Xenopus tropicalis: one gene and its partners. The main gene of each other region encodes a partner of the protein of the gene in region 6 in a complex. Links are inferred from orthologs where the notes say so. Each region holds a gene or a part of one and is shown on either strand. Other genes may lie near its edges. The genes, in order: med12, med13l, med26, med25, med7, med16 and med18.

The links.
Region 1: med16 (region 6) and med12 share a complex: the UniProt entries of both Homo sapiens proteins name them as parts of the mediator complex. The link is inferred for Xenopus tropicalis from reciprocal best matches to the Homo sapiens genes MED16 and MED12.
Region 2: med16 (region 6) and med13l share a complex: the UniProt entries of both Homo sapiens proteins name them as parts of the mediator complex. The link is inferred for Xenopus tropicalis from reciprocal best matches to the Homo sapiens genes MED16 and MED13L.
Region 3: med16 (region 6) and med26 share a complex: the UniProt entries of both Homo sapiens proteins name them as parts of the mediator complex. The link is inferred for Xenopus tropicalis from reciprocal best matches to the Homo sapiens genes MED16 and MED26.
Region 4: the proteins of med16 (region 6) and med25 are in contact, whole or in part, in a cryo-EM structure (PDB 7EMF), measured with the Homo sapiens proteins. The link is inferred for Xenopus tropicalis from reciprocal best matches to the Homo sapiens genes MED16 and MED25. Residues at the interface, in NP_005472.2 of Homo sapiens: Cys41, Arg42, Ser92, Ser94, His113, Arg161, Lys163, Phe171, Gly172, Gly173, Lys174, Pro195, Gly485, Tyr486, Ala516, Ala517, Gln520, Val521, Thr524, Arg525, Ile554, Ala555, Ser558, Lys561, Ser562, Leu563, Leu564, Arg565, Pro566, His567; in NP_112235.2 of Homo sapiens: Ala26, Asn27, Gly29, Pro30, Tyr31, Val74, Asp75, Cys76, Ala77, Pro78, Glu79, Val82, Cys84, His85, Pro87, Lys102, Phe103, Met104, Gly105, Gly106, Gly107, Gly108, Glu109, Thr120, Gln123, Leu124, Asp127, Phe128, Tyr151, Leu152.
Region 5: med16 (region 6) and med7 share a complex: the UniProt entries of both Homo sapiens proteins name them as parts of the mediator complex. The link is inferred for Xenopus tropicalis from reciprocal best matches to the Homo sapiens genes MED16 and MED7.
Region 7: med16 (region 6) and med18 share a complex: the UniProt entries of both Homo sapiens proteins name them as parts of the mediator complex. The link is inferred for Xenopus tropicalis from reciprocal best matches to the Homo sapiens genes MED16 and MED18.

Annotation. Positions count from the first base shown.
Region 1 is NC_030684.2:44,420,104-44,424,068, forward strand, and holds part of med12 (mediator of RNA polymerase II transcription subunit 12), read left to right. Parts: intron 1-574; coding exon 575-754; intron 755-970; coding exon 971-1,042; intron 1,043-1,786; coding exon 1,787-1,944; intron 1,945-2,039; coding exon 2,040-2,201; intron 2,202-2,377; coding exon 2,378-2,489; intron 2,490-2,627; coding exon 2,628-2,717; intron 2,718-2,871; coding exon 2,872-2,981; intron 2,982-3,656; coding exon 3,657-3,792; intron 3,793-3,878; coding exon 3,879-3,965. UniProt on the Homo sapiens protein: Component of the Mediator complex, a coactivator involved in the regulated transcription of nearly all RNA polymerase II-dependent genes.
Region 2 is NC_030677.2:145,408,217-145,412,181, forward strand, and holds part of med13l (mediator of RNA polymerase II transcription subunit 13-like), read left to right. Parts: intron 1-123; coding exon 124-283; intron 284-1,430; coding exon 1,431-1,767; intron 1,768-3,092; coding exon 3,093-3,312; intron 3,313-3,837; coding exon 3,838-3,965. UniProt on the Homo sapiens protein: Component of the Mediator complex, a coactivator involved in the regulated transcription of nearly all RNA polymerase II-dependent genes.
Region 3 is NC_030677.2:112,239,051-112,243,651, forward strand, and holds the start of med26 (mediator of RNA polymerase II transcription subunit 26), read left to right. Parts: upstream 1-1,489; 5' UTR 1,490-1,634; coding exon 1,635-1,706; intron 1,707-4,601. UniProt on the Homo sapiens protein: Component of the Mediator complex, a coactivator involved in the regulated transcription of nearly all RNA polymerase II-dependent genes.
Region 4 is NC_030683.2:117,441,531-117,444,794, forward strand, and holds the end of med25 (mediator of RNA polymerase II transcription subunit 25), read right to left. Parts: intron 3,064-3,264; coding exon 2,856-3,063; intron 1,450-2,855; coding exon 1,340-1,449; 3' UTR 865-1,339; downstream 1-864. UniProt on the Homo sapiens protein: Component of the Mediator complex, a coactivator involved in the regulated transcription of nearly all RNA polymerase II-dependent genes.
Region 5 is NC_030679.2:14,183,867-14,187,565, forward strand, and holds med7 (mediator of RNA polymerase II transcription subunit 7), read left to right. Parts: upstream 1-1,624; 5' UTR 1,625-1,655; coding exon 1,656-2,345; 3' UTR 2,346-2,992; downstream 2,993-3,699. UniProt on the Homo sapiens protein: Component of the Mediator complex, a coactivator involved in the regulated transcription of nearly all RNA polymerase II-dependent genes.
Region 6 is NC_030677.2:100,791,763-100,796,355, reverse strand, and holds the start of med16 (mediator of RNA polymerase II transcription subunit 16), read right to left. Parts: upstream 3,123-4,593; 5' UTR 2,811-3,122; coding exon 2,675-2,810; intron 1,108-2,674; coding exon 1,000-1,107; intron 812-999; coding exon 642-811; intron 447-641; coding exon 15-446; intron 1-14. UniProt on the Homo sapiens protein: Component of the Mediator complex, a coactivator involved in the regulated transcription of nearly all RNA polymerase II-dependent genes.
Region 7 is NC_030678.2:78,270,456-78,274,653, forward strand, and holds the end of med18 (mediator of RNA polymerase II transcription subunit 18), read left to right. Parts: intron 1-2,737; coding exon 2,738-3,291; 3' UTR 3,292-3,528; downstream 3,529-4,198. UniProt on the Homo sapiens protein: Component of the Mediator complex, a coactivator involved in the regulated transcription of nearly all RNA polymerase II-dependent genes.

The DNA of each region.
Region 1 (3,965 bases), on a different chromosome or scaffold from region 6:
ACGGAGAATTACAGACTGGCTAGAAAGTCTCACATTATGCTATGTCCACAGTGCATGAAGCCAAGCCTGGCCTGGTAGGATTTTACAAAACTTTAGCTAGGATCTACTTACCTGTTTGTAATTCTCCGTACCAGAAAATAAAAACAAACAGGTAAGTAGATCCTAGCTAAAGTTTTGTAAAATCCTACCAAGCCAGGCTTGGCTTCATGCACTGTGGACATAGCATAATGTGAGACTTTCTAGCCAGTCTGTAATTCTCCGTACTAGAAATTCTCACATTATGCTATGTTCACAGTGCATGAAGCCAAGCCTGGCCTGGTAGGATTTTACAAAACTTAAGATAGGATCTGCCCAACCCAATTTAAGTTTGGCTTTAAGTTCCAGTTCCTGGCTTGTGGCCAGGATTGTGCTAGAGATGCCCCGTACTTAACTGGAGATGAACTCCCCTACCCAGAGAACAGAAATAATTTGCTATTTGGAAAACCAGGGAAAACAAAATGTGCTAGTGCCTTATGTTAGAAAATGAGCTAAAAACTTCTTTTAGTGAATCTTGTTAATTATATTTTTGTTGCAGGAATGGGTTGGAGAGCGCTGTGTGCGTTCCCTGTGCGAGGACTCTAATGATCTACAGGACCCTGTTCTGAGCAGTGCTCAGGCTCAGCGCCTCATGCAGCTTATCTGTTACCCACACAGACTGAATGATACCGAGCAGGGAGATAATCCACAGAGGCAGCGAATCAAACACATCTTGCAGGTGAGTATGGATCTAAGGTAATATAACAGAAACCAAACGATACTGAGCACAAAAATAAAGGATAGAGAAATTGTGCTTCTGTTTTATTCATGGTAAAGGGATAACCAGAGAACCCTGTATTTATTCTGTTCTCATTCCTGTTGTTCCTGCATCTTTTGCTGCCATTCACCTTTAATTCCTTGCACAGTTGAACCTTATTTTTATTTTTCCCAACAGAACCTGGATCAGTGGACAATGCGTCAGTCAGCACTGGAATTGCAGCTAATGATTAAACAGACACCAAGCAATGTAAGGAGTGTCATTCTGTTAGGGGCCTATGGGGAACATAGTATTTGCAAGTTTTTTTTAAATAATTTTTTTATGGCTATACTTTGTCAGTGGAACATGTGACACAATGAACTATGACTTTGACATAGTATCACTTAGCCACAATCTGTTACATTTTAAAAATAATGTTTCTTTGCTTTCAAAAACTTTTTATGAATTGACCAAAAGTTTGTAAAAGCAATTTTATTTTAAAAATGTAACACATTGCAATGGAAACATTTGCATCCATACTTGTTTCACAATCAGTGGCTTGCAATATAATATTTCACCAATAGAGGTTGCTGTGTAAACACTGTACACAGTATTAATATATGGTCATAAGCAGCTTTCAGTAGCTTGGAAAAAGACTGGTGTTGGTCTGAAAAATTGCTAGTGCCCAGGTCAGGGAACCGTTACTTCAATAAAGGCTTTTAAGAAGATATTGCCTCATTGGTACTGTCTGGTCAAAGAATATTGGATGATCAGATGGATGTGGGTGTTATGTGACTTGCACCAAATATCAAATATATTGTCTTAAAGGTGCTGATCAAAAATTTGCTGTGACAACTAAAGTTTTAGCCAAGAATGTGTGATGTTGGGCAATATCTTATACACTAGTGTTACCCATAATATCTGAGGAACTGTGAATGTTTTTTTCCCTATTCTTGGGGGACACAGCAACTGCACTTGGGCAATTAATGTCTAAATCTTGATTGTTACCAACAGGAAATGAATTCTTTATTAGAAAATATTGCTAAAGCCACAATTGAAGTATTCCAGCAATCGGCCGAGAATGCCTGCGCAGCCCCCGCCAATAGTGCTGCCCTGAGCAATGCTACCTCCAGCAACGCTCCTCCCAACAGCAAGACAAAACCAGTACTCAGGCAAGTGATGCTTCTGTTGTGGTCTATTACTCTATGGCTTTGTTTACCTTTCATATTATTCATTAGCAATAACTAAAAAATCCTTGTCAATGCAGTTCTTTAGAGCGGTCTGGGGCTTGGCTTGTGGCCCCTCTCATTGCAAAGCTGCCTACATCAGTTCAAGGTCATGTGCTAAAAGCAGCAGGGGAGGAGCTAGAGAAGGGCCAACACCTAGGATCTTCTTCTCGCAAGGAACGTGACCGTCAGAAGCAGAAAAGGTGAGTAGATTGTGAATGGCAAAGGAAGACCAGTTGGGGAGTTCTTATTGAGAGCAATACGTAAGGGTGATATGAATGTATAGGAAATGTTTGTTCAGTCACCTGATAAAAGGCTGAGGTTGTTTCCTTTTCCTTATGTTGCTTGTGTTATATATTCTTATGTCTGTGCCTTGCAGTATGTCCTTGCTAAGTCAGCAGCCATTTTTGTCACTGGTATTGACCTGCCTAAAGGGACAGGATGAGCAGCGGGAGGGGCTTCTGACATCACTCTATGGCCAGGTGCAACAGGTAGGTTGGGTAACAGTCCCTTTATGTTTTTCTCTTACCAACACCACCCACTATCACTTTTTCCACAGCTTTTAACCTTCATACATTTGAATTGCTTTTGAATCACTGTCCTTTTAAATCCAAACCCTCCCACTTCAGATTGTTAGCAACTGGCGGGAAGATCAGTATCAGGACGACTGCAAAACTCCTCAGCTGCTGCATGATGTATTGAAACTGAGGCTTAACCTGGTAAGTAAGAGAAAGAAATATAAAGCAGAGGATGAAGTGTGATAAATGAATTATGTTTCTTAGCAATAGAAGTCCCTACAAGAATGCAGCGGAAAATGCAGGTGAATTTATCCTTTATTACTGACATCTTCCCTGTCCTCAATTTCCTTTCTAGGTTGGTGGGATGTTTGATACAGTTCAGCGCAGCACTCAGCAAACCACTGAATGGGCTGTTCTTCTGCTGGACATTATCAGCAGTGGTACAGTGGATATGCAGTCAAACAAGTAACGTATACACACTCTTTGTGCCTCTTCATCTGTACTTGTTTGCTTTGCCCACTGATTCCCATAATCAGTTTGTTTTCTCTTCCTTAGCCTTAGATTTAAATAGCTAAAAAAAGAAAAAAAAAATCAGGATTTTGCTAATCAGGCTGTTTTGTTAGGGAAAAATCAGAATTCAGTGACAAATCCTAGCCAATCCCTCTATAAACTATAAATCCTGTGATTAAAGCAGGCATAGAGTATCAATTTGACATTGCATTTTTATACCTCTTAAAGGAGAAGGAAAGGGTTAATCATTGGGGTGTGTCCAAATGTTAGGCACCCTTATTGAAATTACAGTAGCTTACTCAAATCCACAGGTCAGTGCTTCTGTTAGCAGTGCTCACTGAAAAGTACCCCCATTGATGTACCCTTTCCCTCTTGTTCAGTAAAGGAGGAAAGAACCTTTTAAAGTTACCCTTTGTGCTGTTTTATTTAAAAATCCGGCTGCTTTCCCATGGTGTGCACCAGTTGGCAGCACTAAAGGTTGCCAGCCAATGCCCATTGATAAGCAAGTAGCCAGCAGTGAGGTGGGTCATATTTATATGTGACACCAACAAATTGACATTCAGTACCATGTATTGTATATGACTACTCATCATCAGCTGTTTGTAATCTCATCTTTATGTTGCTTTGCAGCGAGCTCTTCACGACTGTCCTAGACATGCTCAGTGTTCTGATCAACGGAACTCTGGCAGCTGATATGTCCAGTATATCTCAGGGGAGCATGGAAGAGAATAAAAGGGCATACATGAACTTAGTAAAGAAACTGCGGGTAAGGGATTCTATGCATGCCTTTTTTCCTATTTGTATAGAAACAACCACATCTCTTCTAATCTCTTCTTTCTATGTTTCCTGTAGAAAGAGCTGGGTGATCGTCAGTCTGAGAGTCTAGAAAAGGTTCGTCAGCTCCTTCCTCTCCCCAAGCAGACTCGGGATGTAATAACT
Region 2 (3,965 bases), about 45 Mb from region 6:
TTACTGGCCCTGTTGGCAGCAAGGCTTGCCATGAAATGTTTCATGAAGCTGTAGATACTAGCCTGTCTGTTCTACCATGATACAGTAGTAATACAACTTACTGGTTTCCTTTCTACTCCAAAGATGTGCCGTCTTGGTGAGCACAGGCCAATCTGTAAAGTGCTTAGTGATGGGATCATGAAGATTAGCCAGCCTGCAGGTGACAGTGAAGAAACGTCTTGTGAGGAGATGGATAACCAAGCAAGGCTCCAGCTATTTGCACAGACCTGCCGCCAGCATCTTGGTGAGCCAGATAACTTCCCATCTGCATACTGCACCAGATTTAGTTTTTGTCCATTATTCTTTATTTTTTTGATAAAACAGTTTGTGAGGTTCTCTCGCTGTTTTCCAACCCACTGTAAAAACCAGCTTGATCTTTGTTTTAATAATGGTCCAGGTTATTTATTTTTTTAGAGGTGTGGGGCTGTAAAAACCAGCTTGATCTTTGTTTTAATAATGGTCCAGGTTATTTATTTTTTTTTAGAGGTGTGGGGCAGAGGCTGGTTTCAGGCAATTTGAGTGCCATGTTATATATAGGCAACAAAAACCTGACAAGCACTTGTGAGGTGATTCAAATACAATTACAGTTTTGGGACCGGTTATCCAGAATGCTTGGGACCTGGGGTTTTCAGCATAAGGGGTCTTTCTGTAACTTAGATTTGTACTAAAAAAATAATTTAAACATTATTTAAACCCACCAATATGGATTAATAATTAGTCGCTATCAAGTACAAGGTACTGTACATTAAAAATTTTTAACTATTTGCTTAAAATGGAGTCTATGGGAGACTGCCTTCCCGTAAATCTGAGCTTTCTGAATAACAGGTTTCCAGATAACTCTGATCCCATACCTGCACCTTGTAACAGTATATGTGTTTGTTAATATAATGCCACAGAATACCGATCACCTTTTTTCTCTAATATTTAGAAAGGATATTTCTGACCTTTTGCCGCTCACCATCAGCAGGTGATGGAGGGGAAAGGGGGTTGAGTTTGACTAAAGGTGTGAACCACTCTCACTCCACCATGTGATAATGTAAAAAAAATTTTTGTCGGTGGGCTGACTCCTTAACATTATGCCATTTGTTATACTATTGTGAACTAGCACATTAAGCAAAAGTGGACCGTTTGTAGTTTGTTAAAATAAAGTACTGTGGGCAAATTCATTGCTTCTTTTTCAGCGTTTTGGATAATGGGTTTCTGAATAATAGATCCCATAGTTGTAATTTGTAGTTACTATAACTCTTTTAATAAACACGAGAGGAAAATAAAAAGTCACAATTGCTGTTTATTATATGCGCTGTACAAAAGGGATTAGCTGGAACCTTACATTGATGTTATGACATGGATGTGTAAGTTTTGCTAATGCCCATTGTCTTTTTCTGTTTTAGCTCCTTACTTATCCACATTGCAACTAGACAGCAGCCTGTTATTACCTCCTAAGAACCAGCCACCTACGGTACAAACCAGCTCAAGCCCAGCTGTGCCGTCTTGTCCTACTGGTGTTCTTTTTAACACCACTCCTAATGGCACAAGTACTACTCCTTTACCACCACCACCTCTATCCTCCTCCACATCTCTTCCTGCTGGAAACAGCACAGTACCCACTGGGTTCAATAACTGCCCATCACAGAACACTTCAAGTATTGTGGAGCGACCATTAGGAAACCAGACCACAGGAGACCCAGAGCCTAGCCAGCAGTCCATGCAGCAAGAGACCCCAGAAAAGTAAGTACAGATGCTGTATTAAAATGAAATTAAATATTTGACTTCTTGCCCAACACAACAGCAGTTATATGAAAAACCTGGTAGTCAGTTCTTAGAAGGGGATATGGAAAACAAAAAAAGAAGCTTTGTAAGAACTGTAAAAATGTACTTTTGAAACTGGGTGAGAGAACACTGACATTTCCACTGCAGTCAGTAAGTCAGACAATTCACTCCTGTACCTAGAGATTCATACACATTAGGCATCACTAAATTATTGCTGACATATATATGCATGTTTATGTGTCTTCACTTTGGGCCTGATTAGCAGTAGCAGCAAAAAGCTTTTAAGGCTTTCTATGCAGTATCCCACATGACTCCAAAGACAGTAGCATGTTTCAGCAGAAATTGCCCTTATCCTTTCCCGCTTAGATTACTGCAATCTCCTACTAACTTGCCTCCCAGACTCCCACCTCTCTCCCCTGCAATCAATCTTAAACTCTGCTGCCAGGATCCTTCTGCTCTCTCCAAAGAGGGAACCTGTTCAGCCTCACTTAAGCTCTCTTGCATGGCTGCCTGTTAAGCAAAGGATTGCTTACAAAATCCTAACATTCAAAGCCCTTCACTCCTTTGCTCCTCGCTACATTTCTTCACTGGTCTCCCTGCATGTTCCTGGTCGTCACCTCCGCTCCTCTCAGAGCCTCCGTCTTTTTACACCATTCACACCCACTGCGCTCTCTCGTCTTAAACCTTTCTGTCTTGCTGCTCCTTACCTCTGGAACTCTATCCCTGAATCCCTCCATAGGGAACTCTCACCCACTCTCTTTAAGAAAAAGCTCAGCTGTTACCTTCTGGAGCACTAAAACATTTTGCCTAGTCCTGCGCTTAAGGGAAAATGCCCATACCTGGTGCACTCTTACCTTCCAATTTGTGCTTGTATGTTACCCAACCACTTAGATTGTAAGCTCTACGGGGCAGGTACCTCCTTCCTACTGTGTCTCATACCACATGGCACTTATTCCCTGTGCATTTATATATTTATTGTATTTATTTATTATATCACTTGTCCTCCTTCTGTGTAATTCTGTGTATTGTAAGATTGTACAGCGCTGCGTACCCTTTTGGGTCTTTATAAATAAAGTTATACATACATACATGTATTCGTTTTTAGTATTTTTGTATTGCTTATTTTTTCTTTTATATGCACTGTAAATAGACTTTTTTAATAATAATATTAGTAAAATCCTGTCAAATATTTTTATGATTCAAAGGATATTTTGCTTTGTTTAATTTAGAAGGATTTTTAAACATATAATATACAGCTTGTATTGTCTCTTTTACATTAACAGTGCCACTGAGCGGGAGAAAATTGGCATTCCCACAGAACCAGAACCAGCTGGAGCACTCAGTTCTTGTCCAACAGTAGTTATATACATGGTGGATCCATTTACATACACAGTGGATGAAGACTGCCACCCTGGGAACTACTGGATGCTTGGCCTGATCAGATGTTTTACTGACATGCTGGAGAGTTTACCAGAGCCACTTCGATCAGCTTGCATACTTCAGGTAAACATTGTTTGTTTTTTATGTGTGTTACCATAACCTTTATGTGCTTTTCACATAGAGCTTTTATAAGACTTTTCTCAAGACTTGAATCGCGCTTGCTTGCAGTGACACTTATAATATAGGGGGGTGGTGGCAAAGAAATGATTATTATTTAAAAGATCTGTATACAGTGGCACCCATATTGTACGGCAACTTTGTCGACATTTTACTATTTTCCCAGGCAACTGTCAGCAGACATAGACACGCAGATGTGTCGAGTAAAACTGTTCGTATTGTACTCTACTGCTCATGCATGAGTCTAAGTTTGTGCCAGGGACACCTGGGAATAGCAAGTAAAATGGTGGAGCTTTGCTACTTTTTTCCCTGGGCTGGTGCTTCTCTTATTTTTCCTAAAAAGAGCACTAGCCTGGGGAAAAAACTTACTGACTGAATTCACTTGGGGGTCTACCATAAATGTTTAGCATCCTTGTATTTAATTAAAAATTTGTGGTCATCAACAATATCTTACCCTACTCTCTTTTTCAGGTGGTTCCCTGCCATTCTCTTCTGCAGACTGTAAATGATGAAGTGGTCTCCTACATTCAGCACTTGAAGTCTTTAGCTTTTTCTGTATACTGCCAGTGCCGGCGACCCATAGCCACACAAATACCCAT
Region 3 (4,601 bases), about 11 Mb from region 6:
GCAGATGGTGATGCAGTTAAAAATGATGAATTTATTTAGTAACAAGACCTCTCAAAAGGACAAGCCGTATGCATTTTGTACCTTATGGGGCACTTAATCATTAGCCTATGATTAAGTGCCCCATAAGGCACCAAACGTGTAAGACGTGTCCTTTTGAGAGGTCTTGTTACTACATAAATTCATCATTTTAACTGCATCACCATCTGCTTCAACAGTCCAGTCTTATGCCAGCCTTATTTGAAATCCAAGTGTGTCTATCACTTCCCCTGAGCTGAAGGTCTGGGGCTTGAGCACCCGGACCTCAAGAAACTGTTGGTGAGTTCTACCTTAATATATTGCATTTTTTCAATATTCATACATCAATAAGTTTTTAAGACCCAAACACAAAAACCAAGTTTTATGCAGATGGGAAGCTTACCAATTTTATTTTGACCACCTGTGCATCAACGATATCCACGAATACCATTGTACACTATAGCGCTAATGTCTCCTTGTTGAAACCAAGAATACTAACCCAAAACAATAATTATCCCCTGATCACTAGTCCTACACCAAACTAAGTTGTCTGGAACCCACCACCCCAGAAATGACTGCTTGACTGCCATATGTGAAGATGATTCATCATTTCAGAGAACCCATTTCCAGCTCCCTGCTGTCCAGTGTTATACAGCTTTACACAACAACTGGCAATGCATGGCACTCTACATGGTGATATTTAGCTTGTGTGCAGCTACTAATATTTCTTGTACTGATATAGGTTCCAGAGACAGTTTGGAACTCAGTAGAGAATGAAAAAACTGGTAATGAATATGTTTTAGAGGGCTACGTAGAACGTCTGCCTCTCCATATTTTCTGAATCTAACCTTTGTCTCTGAGATAAGGTTACAAGACAAACTAAATAAAACAAAACCCAGACAATTCTAACATATGCAGGTTGCAGGGCTGAAATAAGTGTAACCTGATTTCACTTGAATATATGGCAATATGTGTAGCACTTCTAGCTAACTTTTCTAAACAAACGTTCGATTCTTTTTCCTGCAAACTTACTCGTATGACTTATGAACTACAACTCCCAGAATTCCACAAAGAGTTCCATAGTAGTTCATAACGACCCACGGGTCGCTCTGTTTCAGTGTCGCTGACTGAGGTGATGTAGTTAAATAAGCCCCTCCTTCCAGCTAGGCTTATAGTCTACTGCACAAAAGTTGCAGGGTAGACAACAGTGTTTATTTTAAGTGATGCATCTTGCCTAGTAACAACTCAGGTGCCTAAAGGCTAGCAGGCGCACGGGCTGCCCCCTCTCTCCATGGATACCGAAGACGAATGACAGCTTTAAGTCGTGTCTGACACTTCCTACTGAGGGGGAAGATGAGAGACGTTCGTGCGTGACGTACGTGCTACCTAGGGGGACTGTGACGCCAGGACGCCGCTACCGTCACGTCACAAAGCGTGCAGCGGCGGACTTCCCGGCGTGCCTCGGGACTCCCGGTCGCTCGACTCCATCGGGAGAGACGCGTCTGGGAGTCTCCGGCTTTCTCGCTTCTTCGCTGCTCTCCCTGCGCCCGGGAACTCGTGTTCCTTCCTCCCAGGGAACATGCCGCGCCGCCCTCCGCAGTGATCCCCGGACTGAGGCCATGACAGCCGCTCCGGTAACCCCGCGGGAGATCAGGGAGAGGCTGCTGCAGGCCATCGATACGCAAAGCAACGTGAGTCAGGGGGGACAGGGAGTGGAAAGAGCGCAACACGGGGTTTCGGCACTTGATGAAACCCTCTGAACCAGCAGTGAGAAGCTAGACTAGGGACGACCGGGAAAGGGCTGACGGAGAGTGACTGGAGGCTGCTGTGACACTATCCCTTGATTATGGGTGGTTGGTGGCTAAGGGCTGGGGAAAAGAGAGGTGTCGTTACTCTGGAATGCACTTTTTGGCTCCAGGTTATTAGTTGAGGGTCACATGAGGCTGGGAAAGACCGAGTCCCCTGGAGCCAGAACGTGCAAGAGCCTTAGGGTGGTGGAGGCAGTGGCACTGACCATGCCGGGAGCTGAGAAGCCCACAGTGGAGTGCTATAGGTAAGGCAGAGCTCGATAGGAACAGCTAGTTGAGAGCCCCTTCTCTGTGGGTAGGTGAGAGACGAGTATAAAGCCTGAGAGCTGAGCAGGAAGTGGGCAACTGGGGAATGGAGGATTATGGGTCCCGGCGTTTATCTGGGGTTGCAGTCCTTTGTAGCAGGGACCCCTGGCGCTTGTTTTAGGCCATCTCGCGTTCTTAATCCGACTCTGTATATTCGAGCACATCCGTCCTTACTTTGTAGGCGAGGTCGGGGATAGGGCCTAGTCGCGGCCTTAAGTTAGCAGACTGCCCTTGTAGGCACCGGCACATGTCAGACTGCTGGCTAGGCTTGCGATGCCCGAGTCGGTGGGACTGCCAAAACACACTCCTTTGGCATATTCTTATGTTCCTGGCAGTGCAGATGTGTGCTTGTGGGGACAGGGTGCATTTATCTCATGTTGTTGGCATTACTCTGGTGTGGGCAGGCGGTGTGCTTGTTAAACTGAGAGATCTGTTCTCAAAGAAACAGAACAGGGAAAGTTCAGAATGCTATTTATTGTATTTCATTTAGAGATTTGTCATGGGTCCTTATGTGACCGATTTATCTTTGACTGAAGTGTATGGCATTTATAACTGCATTATATACAGACCTGTTGTTGTATGTGCTGTTATATTTGAGGTGTAACAACTCCCACAAATTAGAAGGCCAAGTAATTTGCAGTCAGCAATACAATTTATTGGTATGTCTCAAATTTGTAAAAGCTTTCACTGTTGTTTACAGTATATAATCTACTGCACTTTCTATCTTCTCTTGATACTTATTTTAGCATTGGCAGGATGCGTCGGCACCTATAGAGTTTAATTCTGCAAAGCACTTATGTAGCAAAAGTTTGAAGTACATTGCAGGATAAGATTTGTAACCATTATTAACATGTATCTATAAAGCATAATCTCTTTGTAAACAACTTCTGAAGTTTGAGGGTTTTTTTTACTGAAGCCTTTACTATAAAGAGTGAACACTACTATTAAATTGATAATAATCTATTGCTGAAAACCTACTTTCAGTTATAGCTTTAAATACATGTGTATTTCCTGTATCACTGGAGATATACAGCTTGTACATTTAGAAAGGATTTGGACCTTTTAATGCCAGAAGCATCTCAAAGTTATTTTGGGGTGAGGGACACATGGGTATGTACATACTGAATTAATTTGTGTCTTTAATGCTGACACATACCTTCTGAAAGTCTGTATTTGGTAGCTGTACTTTTGAAAGGCCTGTGTCTGCATGGGAATTTTTAAGCTGTAGGTAAACAAAAGCACATGTAAAAATAGATTTAGGCAACTGTGATAAAGGATCCTGGTTTCCAGAAAAGCATATATTGTTTAGGTTGGGTATGCTTTATATTAGAATTGATTTGTAATTTTTTAATATCTCACAAATAGTTAAATATTTATTGCGCTGTATTACACAGGTGTGAAAAATAACAACTAAAGGTGCTGAGCAGTACAGAGCTAGGGCTCTTTGATAGATGCATTAGAGGAAGGTACTTGTAAGTGTTGTTCCTTTCTTTCAGTAACCACTTTTGGGAGTGTTCGGGAAAAAAATCAGTAAATCGCTACACCTTTGGCTTTAGGTATAGTAGTAGCCCTATTGTAATCAGTTTGTTAGCCTGCAGAATTGTTCAGCAATTTTTAACCCTGGTTGCTACTTTGACCCTTTTAATGTTTTTGCATTTTCACTGGAGAACTCCTTATGAATCTCATATGATGTTATTGTGTAGTGCACAACATGTTTTAGAATAACGGGTTCTAAATGAAGAATCTGTTAATCCGAAAGACACTGTACACTACACCATAAAATTATTATAAACTGTCACAGTTAAGAGTTTTTTTTGTTTTTTTTTTTTATTTTAAACCCATAGAATAACTGAAAGATGAGATGTTACTTGTTCATGCTTTTTGAGAACAAGCATGCTGTTTTGTGTTTGGATTTTTTTCTGTATAGAGGCATTGCTTATGGCTTACTTTTTTTTTTCCTTATAGCTTATGAGGCACCTAGGTGACCTGTTCATACCTATGGTATGGGTTATGCTTTTATGCTGTTTCTTAAAGGGGTTTTTCACAGTTAAGTTAACTTTTAATATGATGTAGAGTGATATTCTGAGACAATTTGCAATTGGTCTTAATTTTTTTTTTTTATTTGTAGTTCTTTAGTTATTACATTTTTAGTTTAGGAGCTCTCCAGGTTGGAGTTGCAGCAGCTATTTGGTTGCTAAGGTCCAATTTACCTTAGCATCCAGGGAGTGGTTTGGATGAGACTGGTATATGAACAGCAGAGGGCCTGAATAGAAAATTTACAAAAAGTAACAGCAATAAAACTGTAACTTCACAAAGCAAGTGTTTTTGCAGTTTTTAAATGAGGGCCACTGACCCCAGCAGTGAAGAGTTTGAAGAAGTCATTCAGAAACTATAACAAATAAATAAGGCAGACCAGCTGAAAAGTTGCTTAGAATTGCCCGTTCTATAACATGCTAAAAGTTAACTTAAAGG
Region 4 (3,264 bases), on a different chromosome or scaffold from region 6:
TGGGGATCCAAGTGCTTTCCCCTTCAGTTTTCCAGCTCTGAGGGAGCAAAGGAAGAATATGCTGTTTGTTTCCTGTATCAAGTGTTCCAATAGGATCACTGTTCACAAACATGAAAGTACAGCAAATGTGTAACCTCAATGAATGTTAATTGCCCAGTGCTTATTAATGGTAACTAACCAACCAACCAACAAACCAACAAACCAACCATGGGGTTTGTGGACAAATTTGTTCATCCTCTCTACTCCGGTCTTTGGTTGGTTTTATGATTGGTAGAAGCCAGGATAGGGTGGATCTGATGGTCAATGAGCCATGGGCAGCTGTACACGGTCATATATGGCAACTCCCTAGGTATTAACATATCCTGTACACAGAGATACCATAAGGCTAGGCAATAGAGACATCATACAAACAAGTCTGTGAAACAGTTGGTCTGTACCAGGTTGGAACCCTCCAGTTCGATCTTCATTAAAGAGGTAAATATACTTGTCCAATCACAGCGATTAACTCACGCTTTATGGCACTGAAGCTTCCTTTTAAAAGACGTGCAGAATCCAGGGAAGGCAGAAAACTGCTTTAGGATAAGATTTCTGGCTCTTCGGTATCAATAAATGCACAACAGAGTGGTGGCTTCTTGGCACATTAACTATGACAGCAGTAGAATACCAGTCGACCACACATGCAGATAAAATATTGCCCTGTGTTACATACATATGTTTCAGACAGCTAGGTAACTAGCAATATTGTATATCCCTTTCATTTCTTGTATTGATTGTAATCCATAACCCCAGGCAGTACCCTCCCATACACTGTGAGACGACTTACTGGAGCGATACTTCACTATGGGCTAAAATGACCACAATGGATTTTCTAAAACGTTTTTTTATTTTTTTTTTTCATGGCATATCTTATTTTATACCTGTAAAAGCTCATTTTACAATATAACAAAAGAAAAGTCTGCTACGTGTTGTAAAAAGGACGTGTGAGTCAACAATGGTCAAAACTGAAGCAGTTCAGTTAGTTGTCCGTGACTTCCTGGAAACAGGGACCAATCCCACCGGTAAATATAAGCACCAGTGAGGATAGAGTTCTATACCCACCTGTATGGGGACCAAACTGCCGACACAGGAACCAGGAGGCCAAGCAGCTTTCAACAGTTTAGCGACTCTGACCAGATGAGTCTGAACACGCCCTATGAATTCCTATTTAGGCTACTGTCGGTTAATAAATCAAGAAGGCGAGGAAATGACAAGAGGTGATTCATAGCTGATGAATTCAGAAAAATCCTGCAGGATTCATATCATTTTGGAGGCAGTAGAGTCTCATTTCCTTAGCTTATCCTCAAATAAGGTCCATTAGGATGTCGTCTTCCATGACACTCTGAGCCTGCACTTGCTGTAGGCCTTGCTGAGGGACAGGGCCTCGAGGTCCCGCGCTCATCATCAGTGTCCCTAAAGCAGAAAAACAAAGCACAAGTGTCAAACAGACTGCTTCAGGCTTCTGAACCTTTATACCTTAGTATGATAGGGATTGTTTTATAGTAATACCATAGCAACGGAATGCACACAATGACCATTCAGGCCAATTCCTGAAGGTTTATGAAGGAAATTCCCTGTGAAATATGCAGCACAATGAAATAAATGTCTTGCAAGTCTACACTAAGGGGATTATTTTTATAGTGTATAAGCCAATACACTATAATAAATATGCCCCAAAGTCTGATAGTTACCCACAACAGCCATCCAGCAGGTATCATTTACCTTTTTGAAACCAAACATTAATGTCAATATAAATGAATTTTGTTACACAGCACCACCTACTGGTCAGTTTCTGTCCATGATCCAGTCAAGAAAGTTGTCAGGAGAAAGAAAGAGGGGTTGGTTTGATGTTCTTCTGCTTAGGAAAATCATTAGAAACCTCAGATGACCTTTCCTAAGCAGAAGAACATCAGAGCAGCCCTCTTTCTTTCGCCTGACAACTTCCTTGGTGACATCATGGTCGGAAACTGACCAACAGGTGGTGCCTTTGTTGCAAAATTCATTTGTATTAACAGTACACATTTCCCTTAATATCTTGGAATAAAAAAATTAATGTAAATTGCAAAAGTGCTTAGAATAATTTTACATTTACTTATTTTATAAAGGTTTATTTATCATTTAAAAAGCACTAATTAATGATAAAGACCTCAGGTTAGGGTGTTTCTCGGTCACTTATATAATCTAGAACACCTGTACAGTATGGTCAATGGTGGGTTCACAAAGAATGATGGGTAATATATACAGGAAGCTTTTAAAGTGGTCAGACCTGCAGGATTTACTTTGTGTTGTACAAAATGAAACAAGGAGATGAAGAAAATAGAATCCTATATGTATACCTCCCAACGATGAGATGATATAAGGATCAAAATAAGATACAAGTATTAGTATAGGCCAGTGGTCCTCAACTGTTGTTGTGAGCCACAGTCAAATGTAAACAGACGTGAAAAGCAACACAAGCACCATAAAAGTTCATGGAGGAGTCAAATAAGGGCTGTGATTGGCTATTAGGCAGCCTCTATGCACCCTATCAGCTTACAGGGGGCTTTATTTGGTAGGAAAGCTTGTTTTTATTCAACCAAAACTTGCCCCCAAGTCAGGGGGCACTGAGAGCAACATCCAAGGGGTTGGGGAGCAAAATGTTGCCCCTGAGCCACTCCTTGGGGATCATAAAACCCCTAGCCTGCTGTAAATGAATTTCTCAGGGTGTCTGTTTAAAGGGCAATGCAAACTGTGAGTGGGCAACAGTGTGAAGTGACCTGCCTGGACCAATTATTGCCACTCTTGCTACTGCCGTTTCCCCTGGTGTGAAACCTCCTCACCTGGAATTGGTGCTCTCTGTTGCATCTGGTTCCCCCATTGCTGCGCGGGGGCTTGGTGCATAAGTGTTTGCCCCGGGAGTTGGAGTTGCTGCTGGCCGGGAGCCTGGTGCTGCATCTGTTGGCCCATGGCCTGATGGGGAAGCATGCCCTGAGCCGCTTGCTGCATATGGTGCAAAGGCTGCTGTGTTTGTGGGACACTGGTCTGTGGCTGTAAAACAGAACAACGAAATGGATATTTAGTTCTTGTACAATGGTTCTGTCTTAGTGACTTGCTCAAATGTTCACGCCTTGGACCAGAACAACATTTTTTTTACAGACAAGAAAGAAAAAGCACTAAGTTTGGCCAGGCACAGTAACCCATAGCAACCAATATGATGTTTGCCTTTAACAGGTAACCAGTAAATTCTGC
Region 5 (3,699 bases), on a different chromosome or scaffold from region 6:
ATAGTCATTAATAATATATATATACACAGAGAGGCGCACACCCTTCACAAAACCAGATGCCCTGGGTGCAGGTAAAACATAGAATATAAAGAAAGGGTAATGCACACACTGTGCTCAAAAAGTTGGATTTTTTTCAATAAACACTTTTTTTCTTGGCATTAAGTCCCTGTGTGTGCAGTATACATATATATATATATATATATATATATATATAATACCTTTCGGTCCACACTCCCATTAAACACACTTACTCCATACTTGATTGCAGGGTGCTGCACCTGGTTGTAGCTTGTATTCATTACAATTGATGATGCGCACTCCTGTATTTTTTTTAGTTCATTTATTGTTACATTATAAAGTTAAAAACATCAACGTTTCGGACCAGGTCTAGGACCTTTATCAAGATGTTAAGCCATAAAAAGTCACACACATAATGAGTCTTTATATAATACAAAATGCCTAACCCCGCCCACATTGAGCAGAGCCCCAACCCCAAATTGTGAATTAAAGAAAACACATCAGTACAATTAATTAATTGTAATAGTGTTTATTAATTGTACTGATATGTTTTCTTTAATTCACAATTTGTGTATTTTATTACATTAACATTTATTTATAAAGCGCCAACATATTCCGCAGCGCTGTACAATAAGTGGGTTACATACATTGGACATACAGAGTAACATATAAAGCAATCAATAACCAATACAAGAGGTGAAGAGAGCCCTGCCCAAAAGAGCTTACAATCTACAAGGAGAAAGGGTTGAGACACAAGGTGTGGGAATGGGCATGGCCAGAGTTGTGAGAGGTGTGGCACAGGGTATTGCTAAACTAGATTAGGGTAAGCCTCTCTAAATAAGTGTGTTTTTAGAGATCTCTTGAAGGCAGAGAGATTGGGAGAAAGTCTGACAGTTTGTGGGAGCGAATTCCAGAGAAGGGGGGCAGCCCTTGCAAAGTCTTGAATGCGAGCGTGTGAGGAGGGAATGAGAGAGGAGTTGAGGAGCAGGTCAGTATGTGCTATACAGGATACCTCGTTTCGTACGATAATCGGTGCGTGTATGGCATGTCGGCGAGTCGACCGATATCGCAGGAATCTGCTGATATCGGCCGACTCGCCGATCGGACCAGTTTGAAAATTTTGATCGGGCGCCATAGAAGGCGCCTGACCAAAATTCTCCCTTCAGAGCTGAATCGGCAGAAGGAGGTAAAAATCCTATTGTTTCTACCTTCTTACCTGCCGATTCAGCCTTGAAAGGTGTGTGGCGGATCTGACAATGTTTCGTGCGACCGATGGTCGTACGAAACATCGTCAGATCGCCACGTGTATGGCCAGCTTAAGGGTTGTGAAATGGGGTTGGGGCTATGCTCAATGTGGGCGGGGTTAGGCATTTTGTATTATATAAAGACTCATTATGTGTGTGACTTTTTATGGCTTAACATCTTGATAAAGGTCCTAGACCTGGACCGAAACGTTGATGTTTTTAACTTTATAATGTAACAATAAATGAACTAAAAAAATACAGGAGTGCGCATCATCAATTGGAATGCATATATATATATATATGTGCTGCACACACAGGGATTTATATTGTTATTTGTATGTAACTGAATGGGCTTTTTCTTTCTGTGTCACAGGTTCTCCTACTCACTTCATAATGGGGGAGCCTCAGCAGGTCAGCGCTTTGCCTATACCTCCCATGCAGTACATTAAGGAGTACACAGATGAAAACATCCGCAAGGGCCTGGCCCCCAAGCCTCCCCTCCCCATAAAGGACAGCTACATGATGTTTGGCAACCAGTTTCAGTGTGATGACCTTATTATCCGCCCTCTGGAAACTCAGGGCATCGAGAGGCTCCACCCCATGCAGTTCGACCATAAGAAGGAGCTGAGGAAGCTCCTTATGTCCATCCTGGTCAACTTTCTGGATATGTTGGACATCCTGATCCGAAGCCCAGGCAGCATCCGAAGGGAGGAGAAACTGGAGGACCTAAAGTTGTTATTTGTTCACATGCACCACCTTATTAATGAGTACAGGCCCCACCAGGCACGTGAGACCCTGCGGGTGATGATGGAGGTGCAGAAACGTCAGCGGCTGGAAACGGCAGAGAGGTTCCAGAAACATCTAGAGCGAGTGGTGGAGATGATCCAGAACTGTCTGGCATCGCTACCCAATGACCTCCCTCTTTCTGATGGCGCAGTCAGTGTAAAAACTGAACCAATGGATGTTCGGGAACCCTGTACGGACCATCATGCGGGGCCCCAGGAGGCAGCAGCAGCTTCTCTGAAAGAGACCACAATTGATAAGGATGCAGCTATGTGTGTTATCATCGATGAAATGACCTAGTCCAATAAGCAGTTCTAATCAGGACTCTTGAACTTTAGAAGTCACAAGGATTCATTGAAATGCAATAGCATGGCTCTATGTGTTGGTTGTATTCATCATGGGACTTGGCAAGGAAAATGTTTGTCCCAAGGGAACTCAGTCACAGCTATTGCTCATGTACATGTCTGTTTATTGTGCTTTTCTGCCATGCTTTTGAAAAGGCAGTATGCAAGAAGGCTAATATTTTTCAGTGTTTTCCCTGCCAGTTCATGTGTATGAGGAATGGAAGGTTGTAGTTCTGCAACACCTGGGTGGTAACTGCTTATTTGTGATTAAACAGACAAAGGACTGGGGTCAGACTTTTGAATGTTATCTAACTGATATACTATGTATGGAATCTACTCATTGCAAGTTATGTTTGTACAGTTATTCACATGTTCTGAGATATCAAAGTTTATTTAAAAGTTAATATTACAATTGTTTGTATCTTTTTCTCTCTGAATTGGAATATTTTAGTCTCAGATTGGTTTGGAGCATGAAAATCCCAAAATGGGTGCTGTTATCTGTTATAGGAGAAGTCCATATTTTGAAATGCTCGCCTTTACAGTTTATCATGTTTATTTACTTTAATATTTGTATTACTGCATTATAGTTTTAACCCTCTGTCACTTCTAGCATCTTTCCTATTAATTATCCACCTCCATTAAGGATGCTGTGTGCATTCACATTACATGCAAGCTTTCTATCTCCCCTGTGTCAGCCTTTGTGACAAAGCAAGGGTTAAATGACTGTGCTTAGGTTGGGATCAAATTCATGAATGGTAGCAATGAATATACATTTTATCATGATAGGAGGATGCTATGCTGCACTGTAAATAACAACACACTGTGAGCACTAAGGTGCAGGGACAAGAGCTGCTATACAGAAACAAAAACATGAGTACCAGGATCTGTGCATTTACAACATTCCATCCTCATTCTGATTGGTAGAATGGATATGTTTAAGTAAGCTCCACCCTGCAGTCTACAGATGCTGGCCAAAATATTTGGAAGGTAAACTTGTTGGCTGCCCCAGCCAGTTGTTATTTTCAGAAGGGTGGTGCTGTGGGCACCTAGGCCTTATTTCCTAAGGAGGTTGGTGAGATTACAGGAATCCCCATCAGTTGCAGGACAGGTGGCACTTACCAGCCTCTTTCTCATGGTCAGACCCCTGTACCTGTAGAAAAAAAAATACAACAAAAGGAGGAGGGCTGTGAAGCAAAATTTTTAGATCCTGCTACCCTTTAATATCTGTAGTTCATAGGAGCCAACTATGACTGCTTCAACAAAGGCTCCATATAGACAAGTGGGGTCATTTATAAACACTGGGCAAATTG
Region 6 (4,593 bases):
ACTTTTCTTCTCACCTGTTCAGACATATCCCGCGCAAGGAATTTAAGGTGCGTCACAGCTGGGAACTTGTCCTTGCGTGCAGGGTCAGTTGTACAGCGCATAAAGAGAGAAGGAAGTATCTCTGTGTCGATTTTGCACTTTTCACTTACTACAGAAACACAAACTTTGTAGAACTGTACTGGGGATGTGCTGCTCCCATCACATGTGGCCACAACAATGTTTCCACCACCAGTAAATGCAATGTCTGCAAGTGCCACACGACAACGTAGTCGGCACAGGCTTTCTGTAGCTGTTAGCACCTGTCCATTGGGCTTTAGCAGAGACACTGTAACTAAACCACTGACTGTGACTGCAATCCAACCCTCCATTGGCTTTCCACCAAACAAAGTAAGAGATGGGGAAAACTTCACGCGTGAGAACTTTTCTCCAAAACTGGAAACACCAGACTGCAGGAGAAAAAAGATCAGTATTAAGGGTGGTAAATGCCTACTTAAAGGGAAATAATGGTTAGGGGACAAAAGAAATAATGGTCTCTGCTTAACAACAAAAAGGATAAGCAAAGTGAAGTGAAGTGAAAGAAAAGAGCATACAAACAACTAAATATAAATACTAATGTAAATATTCATTGTTATCTCACCCACCTTCTCAACATGGAGAGCAAGTTTGACTCCATTGTGCAACCAAGACAGAGCTACTATGGGATCTCCATCCACTTCGCTGCCTACAAGACTCTGCCAGCTGTTTGCTAAGTGATCAGTCATTCCCCAGCATTTGATTCGACCATCTGCATCAGCTGAGAGCAGGCGGGAACCTAAAAATACCAATAAAACCAAAGCAACAGTTACAAACACTACTGTCTATGTCCCTTCAAGGATTCATTTTCTGCTTCCCACATTTATCTTGTTTCTTCATATTTCCCTTTGCTCTCTGCCCTTCCCTTTTAAGTTATATGGTTTTCTTGTTTATTATCAAAAAGCCCAGCAATTTGTTTTACTGTACCAGATTGGTCCCACTCCAAGCTGGTAATAACTTCCTGGTGCCCAGAGTTAATAGAGTAGACATCCCACGGATGTTCTGTGTCGAGGATATGGATCAAATTAGTGATATCTGAGAAGAAAAAAAATCAAGTTATTTCAGATTTATCCATATTCCTGTAAAAACACTTTTTAATTTATCAAAACCCTGGAAAACAAACAATCTGGTGAGAATTATGCAATGTTGCAACTCTCCATGGTCAAATTATACTTGCTTTAACGAATAAGAATATATTCAATGAGAGCATAAAATATATACTTAAATTTGTGCATTGTAAAACGCCTGATTTTGAGTACAGTTGAACTTTTTAGAAAGATAATAGAAGACAGATGAACTCTTTGCACTTCAATGTAAATTTCATAAGGTAAATGAATGGGGGTGGGAAGGAGGGCTAACTACAGCCAATTGTTTAGCATTTTTTCAGTAACAAGCACTTTTCTTACAGCTCACACGACCCAACTATTGTGAGAGAATACACACTTCTTCACTTAACATTCTAGTAGGCAGCTCTGGACTGAGATTTAAAATAGGCCCTAGCATTTTCAGCACACAAAAGCTCAAATAGCCCCCAACTAGCGCTCTACTACACAGTCACTGTCTATGGCATCTTTCAGCAGTCCCTCTGGCATTTGCCAGAACCCACAGACTGGCAGTCTGAGCCTGCTGGCAGGGATTATTTACTAAGGGGGGGTAAGGTGCAGAATTTTTTTTCCCCACAATACAAAGTGGCACAGAATGACATTAAATAAAAAGTAGAATTTATTGCAGTAACACATTCCTGGGTCTGAATTTGTGCACCTAGGTCTCAAGCTGCCACGCTTCCACTACAAGCAATACTTTCTATTTTTATATTGGTGCAAGGCATTGTGTCTCAACCCTTTCTCCTTGTAGATTGTAAGCTCTTTTGGGCAGGGCCCTCTTCACCTCTTGTATCGGTTATTGATTGCTTTATATGTTACTCTGTATGTCCAATGTATGTAACCCACTTATTGTACATCGCTGCAGAATATGTTGGCGCTTTATAAATAAATGTTAATGTAATGTAAAAGGCATTGCCTAACCGTAATGTGTATGCCTATAGATTCAGATGCTTTAATTTTTTATCTGCGTCTATGCATCTATCTGCATTCTATGCATTCTAGTGACCCAAATACCCTTAATATACTAACCTAGTTCATTTTAAACATGGTAATATAAAAATGTAATCCAAGCAATCCAAGCTCTTTGGTAAGACCAGCTTTGGACTGGGAACCCAGGGACCCACAAGAAAACCTTAGACCCACTTTCCAAATTATTTGTCCTCCTTCCCCACCCAACCACTTTATTCTCCAAGTCTCTTTTATTTACATAGCATCTATTCTTCCATCTAATTCTTGACTTTCTTCCCATTCAGAAATAGGGAATGACCATGAAACAGGCCAAATGATCAGGAGCAGGAGACTGACACCTGGGCCCACCATGAGTTCTCCTGGTATCCAGTCCAACACTGGGTAAGACTCATTTTGGTTTGTCTTTTAATTGTTTTATGCATTATAGATAGAGAGAGAAAAGTAGACATATAACAGTTACTAAATAATAGAAATACACACACATATAATCACACTCACAGAGCGGTGCTGTAATAACAAAAAGATGTTACCTTTCTCCTCCTCATTGCGCTGATCTGTAGTGAAAGCAATAAGATTGCGGCAAGACCAAGCGCAAACTAGTGGGATTGATGGGCAGTGACTGGTCCGTGGTCTTTTGTCCCACTCACATACGTACCCCACATCCATGCTGACAGCAAACACGCACCTACTAACTATGGGAGAAGGGCTACAGATCGGGGGAACAGAAACACAATGGCTTACATTGGGAATGGACTGACTGACTGCAGCTATAAGAAACGAAGGCGGACGACAAGAAGCGTCAAAAAGCGAAAATATGCTAGAACCTTGCGTAGGGGATTTGCTACTAAACTGCTCTGGTTACTGCTGGTTCCAGAATCCCGTAGGATAACAAGGTTCTACGTAAAACCAGTAATGAAAGTTCCCGGCTACATTAGTGCGTCTCACGGAATAAGCGTCTCAATGTCGCTTTCCGATGGCGTCATCCTTAGATTAGCATGCCGACCTCTCCCGGCGTGCATCGTGGCAAATGCCTAAATTGCAGCTATAAATTCAATCTTTCTCTTCTGTTTTTCATGTACCCAGTAAATAAAACAATATCAAGTAATATTTATTGCTGCTCGGTGTAAATATACATATAGACATACAAAATTGTCACTCCAATATAACCGAATCAAAAGCTAGGGGCTTTAAATAAGAACCGGCGCTAAGGTATGTTTGTGCTCGCTTCGGCAGCACATATACTAAAATTGGAACGATACAGAGAAGATTAGCATGGCCCCTGCGCAAGGATGACACGCAAATTCGTGAAGCGTTCCATATTTTGCACTTATCTTATCAAATGGATATTGGAGTGAAAAACAAACCATGTATATTTATATATATATATATGTATTTAGTTTGTTTTTCACTCCAGATGAAGGCTTCTGTGTGAGACCCAATCGTTGAGTAATAAACCTTTCTATTTTTACATTTACATTTTGCTCACACTTTACTTTGGAAATAAATGTAATTTGGGACTATTTTAATTTAATATATATATATTCTCCACTCATCTAATAAAAAATGTGTATTTGTGAACAGTGTGTGTGTTTGTGTATATATATATATATATATATATATATAGATTTACACACACACAGGATTATGATTTAAAAACTAAAAATCTTTAGTTCCCCCCTTTATTATGCTGTGAAGATGGTTTCTTCCTACAGTCAGTGGTGTAACTATAGAGGAAGCAGACACCATGGTTGGGGGGGGGGCACCAGGGGCAGCCTGGACCATAGGGTCTGGTTCCTCTATAGCAGGGGTGGGCAAACTATGGCCCGCTGTCTCCGGCCCCCTTAAAAGAATGACGGGCCCTGATTGGTTGCGCCCCATGCATGCGCATAGCGTCAGCACACACGGGGCGCAACCATATAAAAGAATGCACTGGGGAGCCGGGGAACAGAAGGACGGGACGGAGGAAGCAGCGGGTCGCTGGCGGAGGGAGCCGCAGGTCATGAAGGATGCTGGGGGGGAGCTGAGAGGCCCCATAATTTTTGATGGCAGCCCCGGGCGTAACGCTGTCCCGGCCCGGTCCGGCCCGTCTGTTAGTCAATGTGGCCCCTGACCCAAAAAGTTTGCCCACCCCTGCTCTATAGTCACTCTCATTGATAAAGTTAAGGGTGCCCGCTGCTTAATATTTGCCAGGGTGGTGGCCAGGTACCTGTGTGCGCCAGACCCCTCCAAAAAATGATTGTGGAAATGTGAAATATGGCAAAATCAGGGAATGTAAAAGTGAGATTTCACTGTGTCTCATCCCACTTGTTGTGGGATGAGATACACAGTGTATCTACAAAGAAGTCAATGGAGATATTGAGCAGACCATGGGTTGTAAAAATCCCTTGCAGGGCCACAGATTTTTCTTAAGAAGAGACGGTATCAATGTAATTGTTTTCCTCACATTATT
Region 7 (4,198 bases), on a different chromosome or scaffold from region 6:
TTGCCCTGCGCTGGTAAAACCGGTGTATTTGCTACAGAACGCTCCTATAGTTTATATAAATAAGCTGCTGTGTAGCCATGGGAGCAGCCATTCAAGCTTAAAAAAGGAGAAAAGGCACAGGTTACACAGCAGAAAAGATAAACTCTGTAGAATACAATGGCATTTTATCTGTTATCCGCTAAGTAACCTGGGCCTTTTCTCATTCAAATGGCTGCCCCCATGGCTACACAGCAGCTTTGTTTATATAAACTATAATAGTCTTTCTGAGGCAAACCCACCAGTTACACCAGTGCAGGGTAACAGTACATTATATTGTTATTGCTTTTATACGCTTTCATATTTTGAGGTTACTGTTCCTTTAATAACACTACTTGTTAACTCAAATACTTCTTGCCAGTACTTTTGTATTTTAGGGCAGTTCCACCAGGTGTGCACGAGTCCCTTCCTGTCCACATTTTCTCCAGCACATTTTAGTGGCTGTTTGTGAGACTATTCTTTAATTTTTCATGCATACACCCATTTATTTTACAATGCTGTGGAATATGTAGTTGTTTTATTAATACATGCAATAATTATAACAATTTAAAAAACATGACATTAAGTATGATTTAGTATATATTTTTTTATTTTTTTTACACGTTCTGACCTATATCTGTGTACACTAGACATTTGTTGGTACATTAGTTGGGCAGGTTTGCTAATTTAATATAACAACACACCATATCCACCAGTGCTGGGTGCATCAACTGATAAATTAGTGAATAAGAGCTGCAGCTCCTGTTATTGCTGTCCCAAACAAACAGAACAACAGAAAGTTGCACATGCCCTGGACAGTATGTATGTGTTCAGATACTGCATTGCATTGACATGTCTATGGTCACACTAAGCCATGATGTACACACCCAGCTATTTCAACAACACCAGAAAAGGCTCTCTATTCCTGCTTTAGAGTCATTTCTAGTTATCTGAAAATACTAAAGTTCATACTCTATGTAAATAGAATAGGTTGGCAAAATGTTTTGTATAAGGATTTCATCCACTTACAAATAAGTTTTATTGCAGAGAAACCAGTTTTCTCGAGCAGGTGTATGTATTTCTTTTTATAGTGCCTGTGCCCCAGGGTAAAAATAGCTTTACAACAGAAAGGTACATAATAAATCAAACAAATAAGTAAATGCACATACATATTACCTTACAAATGATTTCTAGAATCTTGTAGGTGGAAGAACACAATTTTGATATCTGCAGAAAGCTTATTGATTGATGCATCTGATTTTGTAAATAATTTAGAAGTTCAAAAAATGTTAAACTGTGAAAGATCAACTTTTATAGCCACTCATGCAGCACCCGTTTTTTTTGTATCACAAGTTAAAGGGGCAATCTAGTTAATGTATTTAAATAGGCAAGGAAAGGTTAATTCACTGGAGGTGCCAATATGTTGGGGCTCCTAGTGTATTAAATAGGTAAATTTGTTTTAACTCACCAACCCCCATATGTAAGAAGAGGCACTCGGTAGCTCAGGAGCAGTAACCCATAGAAAGCAATAAGATGTTTGCTTTTAATCGGGTAACCAGTATATTCTACCTGCTGATTGGTTGCCTTTCCACCGGCAGCAATAGGAGTCGCCAGGTGGAAAAGTCTATGCATCACTTCAGCTTTCCAAAGTCGCACAAAGTTGCCTGCAGGATGTGTAGCCTTAAGGTTCTTTTCCCACCTTGCTCCTTCAAATCTATTTATCCTTTTTTGCACCTTTCTGTACAACATTATTTCTATAGGTACATTTTTTACCAAAACTCTCCTGACACCTAACCTCTCATTCTGAAACCAAGGGTGTTAGTATAGTATCAAAGGTTGGTTTTCTCTGCTTTATTCAAATAGCTGTAACTCATTTTAATAAGTTAACCTCTCTGCTACATTGCCACCCAGCTACTAGAATGGCTAGAATTTGACTCCTAAAAAGAATTTGCACTTTAAATTCCAGCAGCGACCCCTGTCACAGAAGCAAGAGCACTTGTTTGTATTATGACTGCAAAGCTCAGAAGGATAGCAGGCAATTACATGGTGGTACAAACCAGCAATGCTGTCTGGTTACAGGGTTCTGCTGGAATTTCAAGTGTTAAGATGCTATTTGGGCTGTGCCATTGGCACCCTTGGACTTTAGACTGAAGCTGACAGTTGAAGTACAAAGGATAAGAAGTGGTGGCATGTTTTCTGGCAATTAAAAAAGATACGTTTTTCTTTTGTTCAATTTTATAATGTGCTAAATGCAATGTCGCAAAGTTGTTTCTGTCCATTTATTTCCCATTTAAACTGCCACAGGGTAGGCAGCACAGTCAAGAATGTCATCATACCTTGGTTTGCTTTTATGTATGTATGTATGTATTTACATACATTTTACTGGAACTAGGGGCCCTAGTCCTAAAAAACAGCCCCAGACCATTGTTCCTCCACCAAACTTTTATAGTAGGTATTATGAATTATTGCAGAAAGCATTTAATTGGTATTCACCAAACAAAGACCTGTTGGTCAGATTGCCAGATTACCAGAGGTAAACTGCAAATTGAGAATTAGTTTCCACTGCTCCAGTAGCATTGAATCCTAAACCATATAGCCAAAACTTTCCATGGTTTTGCCATTAACAAAACAGTTTTTCTTGCTTAATCACTTTTTGGAAGCCTAATTAACTTTAGCAGTAACTGTTATCACATATTAAAGCCTTTAATTTTTTTTTTTTCAGGTAGTATTCTTGACCAGGGTCTAGAGAGCCTCCTCCATCGTTTACGTGGTTTATGTGACAATATGGAACCTGAGACATTTGCAGATCATGAGAGTGTCTACCTTCTCAAGGGTCAGCAGGCCAGCCCCTTTGTGCTACGAGCACGTCGCCCTTTGGATCGGCCAGGTGCTCCATGGCACCTTAGGTATCTGGGTCAGCCTGAGGCTGGAGACAGAAGCCGCCACACGCTAGTGCGTAATTGTGTTGACATTGCCACCTCAGATGTTCTTCCTGAATTTCTGCAGGAGATGGGCTTTCGTATGGACCATGAGTTTGTGGCACGCGGCCACTTGTTCAGGAAAGGGGTTATGAAGGTGGCAGTGTACAAGGTGTTTCGGGTGTTGGTAGCAGGAGCAGCAGAGGGTGCTGAACCCTTGTCACTTTCATACCTTGTAGAGCTTAGTGCAGTGGCGCCAGCTGGTCAAGACAATATAGCTGATGAAGTCAGGGGGTTTGCAGAACAGCTCAGACCACTCGTGCAGCTGGAGAAAATAGACCCTAAACGTCTGATGTAAAGGGGACATTCCAAAAAACAAGACTCAAGATTGTGTGTTTCTGGTGAAAACCGTTTACACTGCCATAATTCATTGGTTTTTCTCATGAGCTGAGATGGCATGAAATTCCTCTTGACTGTAAAGGGACCAATGTCAAGTTCTGCTGGTTTCATTGTGACACAGAACAGCATCTGCCACTGTATTGTGCAGACCAGAAATAGAATGATCTGTTTTATTATTAAATTTGTTTTATTTTTCCTGTTGTGTTCAGTATTGTCCTCCTGACCTGCAAATTTAAAACATTTTTACACATATTTACTTTGAAAGATCCATGTAATTTTTAGCTTTTTTTACTTATCATTTTTTCAGGCACTCCCCTATTGATCTCCCATTCTGATAGTCAAACTGCTGCCTGGTTGCTAGGGTAGTTAAGCTCTAGTAACCAGATAGCAATTGAATTTCAAAGCATGAGAGTTGCAAAAAAAATAAAAAATTAAGTCTGTCACATTGTACTTGAAAGCGGATATCTACATAATAATTTTTAGGTCTATGGCACATGTTGGGATTAGTTGCCTGCGATAAATCTGCTCTACCCTGTGGTGACTAATCTTCTGAAATAGCTTTCCCATTGACAATAATGTAGATTCTCTTGCAATCATACACACAGCTGCTAAGCTTGAGTTGCCTGTTACGGTTTATGATGTTACCAATTTATTATTACTTAAAGGAGAAGGAAAGGCAAAGTCACTTGGGGGTGCCAAAATGTTAGGCACCCCCAAGTGACCTTGTACCCCGGGCTGGTGCCCCTGTTGCTGCAGCACTTCCTGCTTCGCGCGCGCATGCGCAGTAGAGTGAAAAAGCTGAACTTAAACAGAGAAGTCGCTTTTCACTCTACTGTGCATGCGCCCGGCCCTTGGAATTTGCCGGC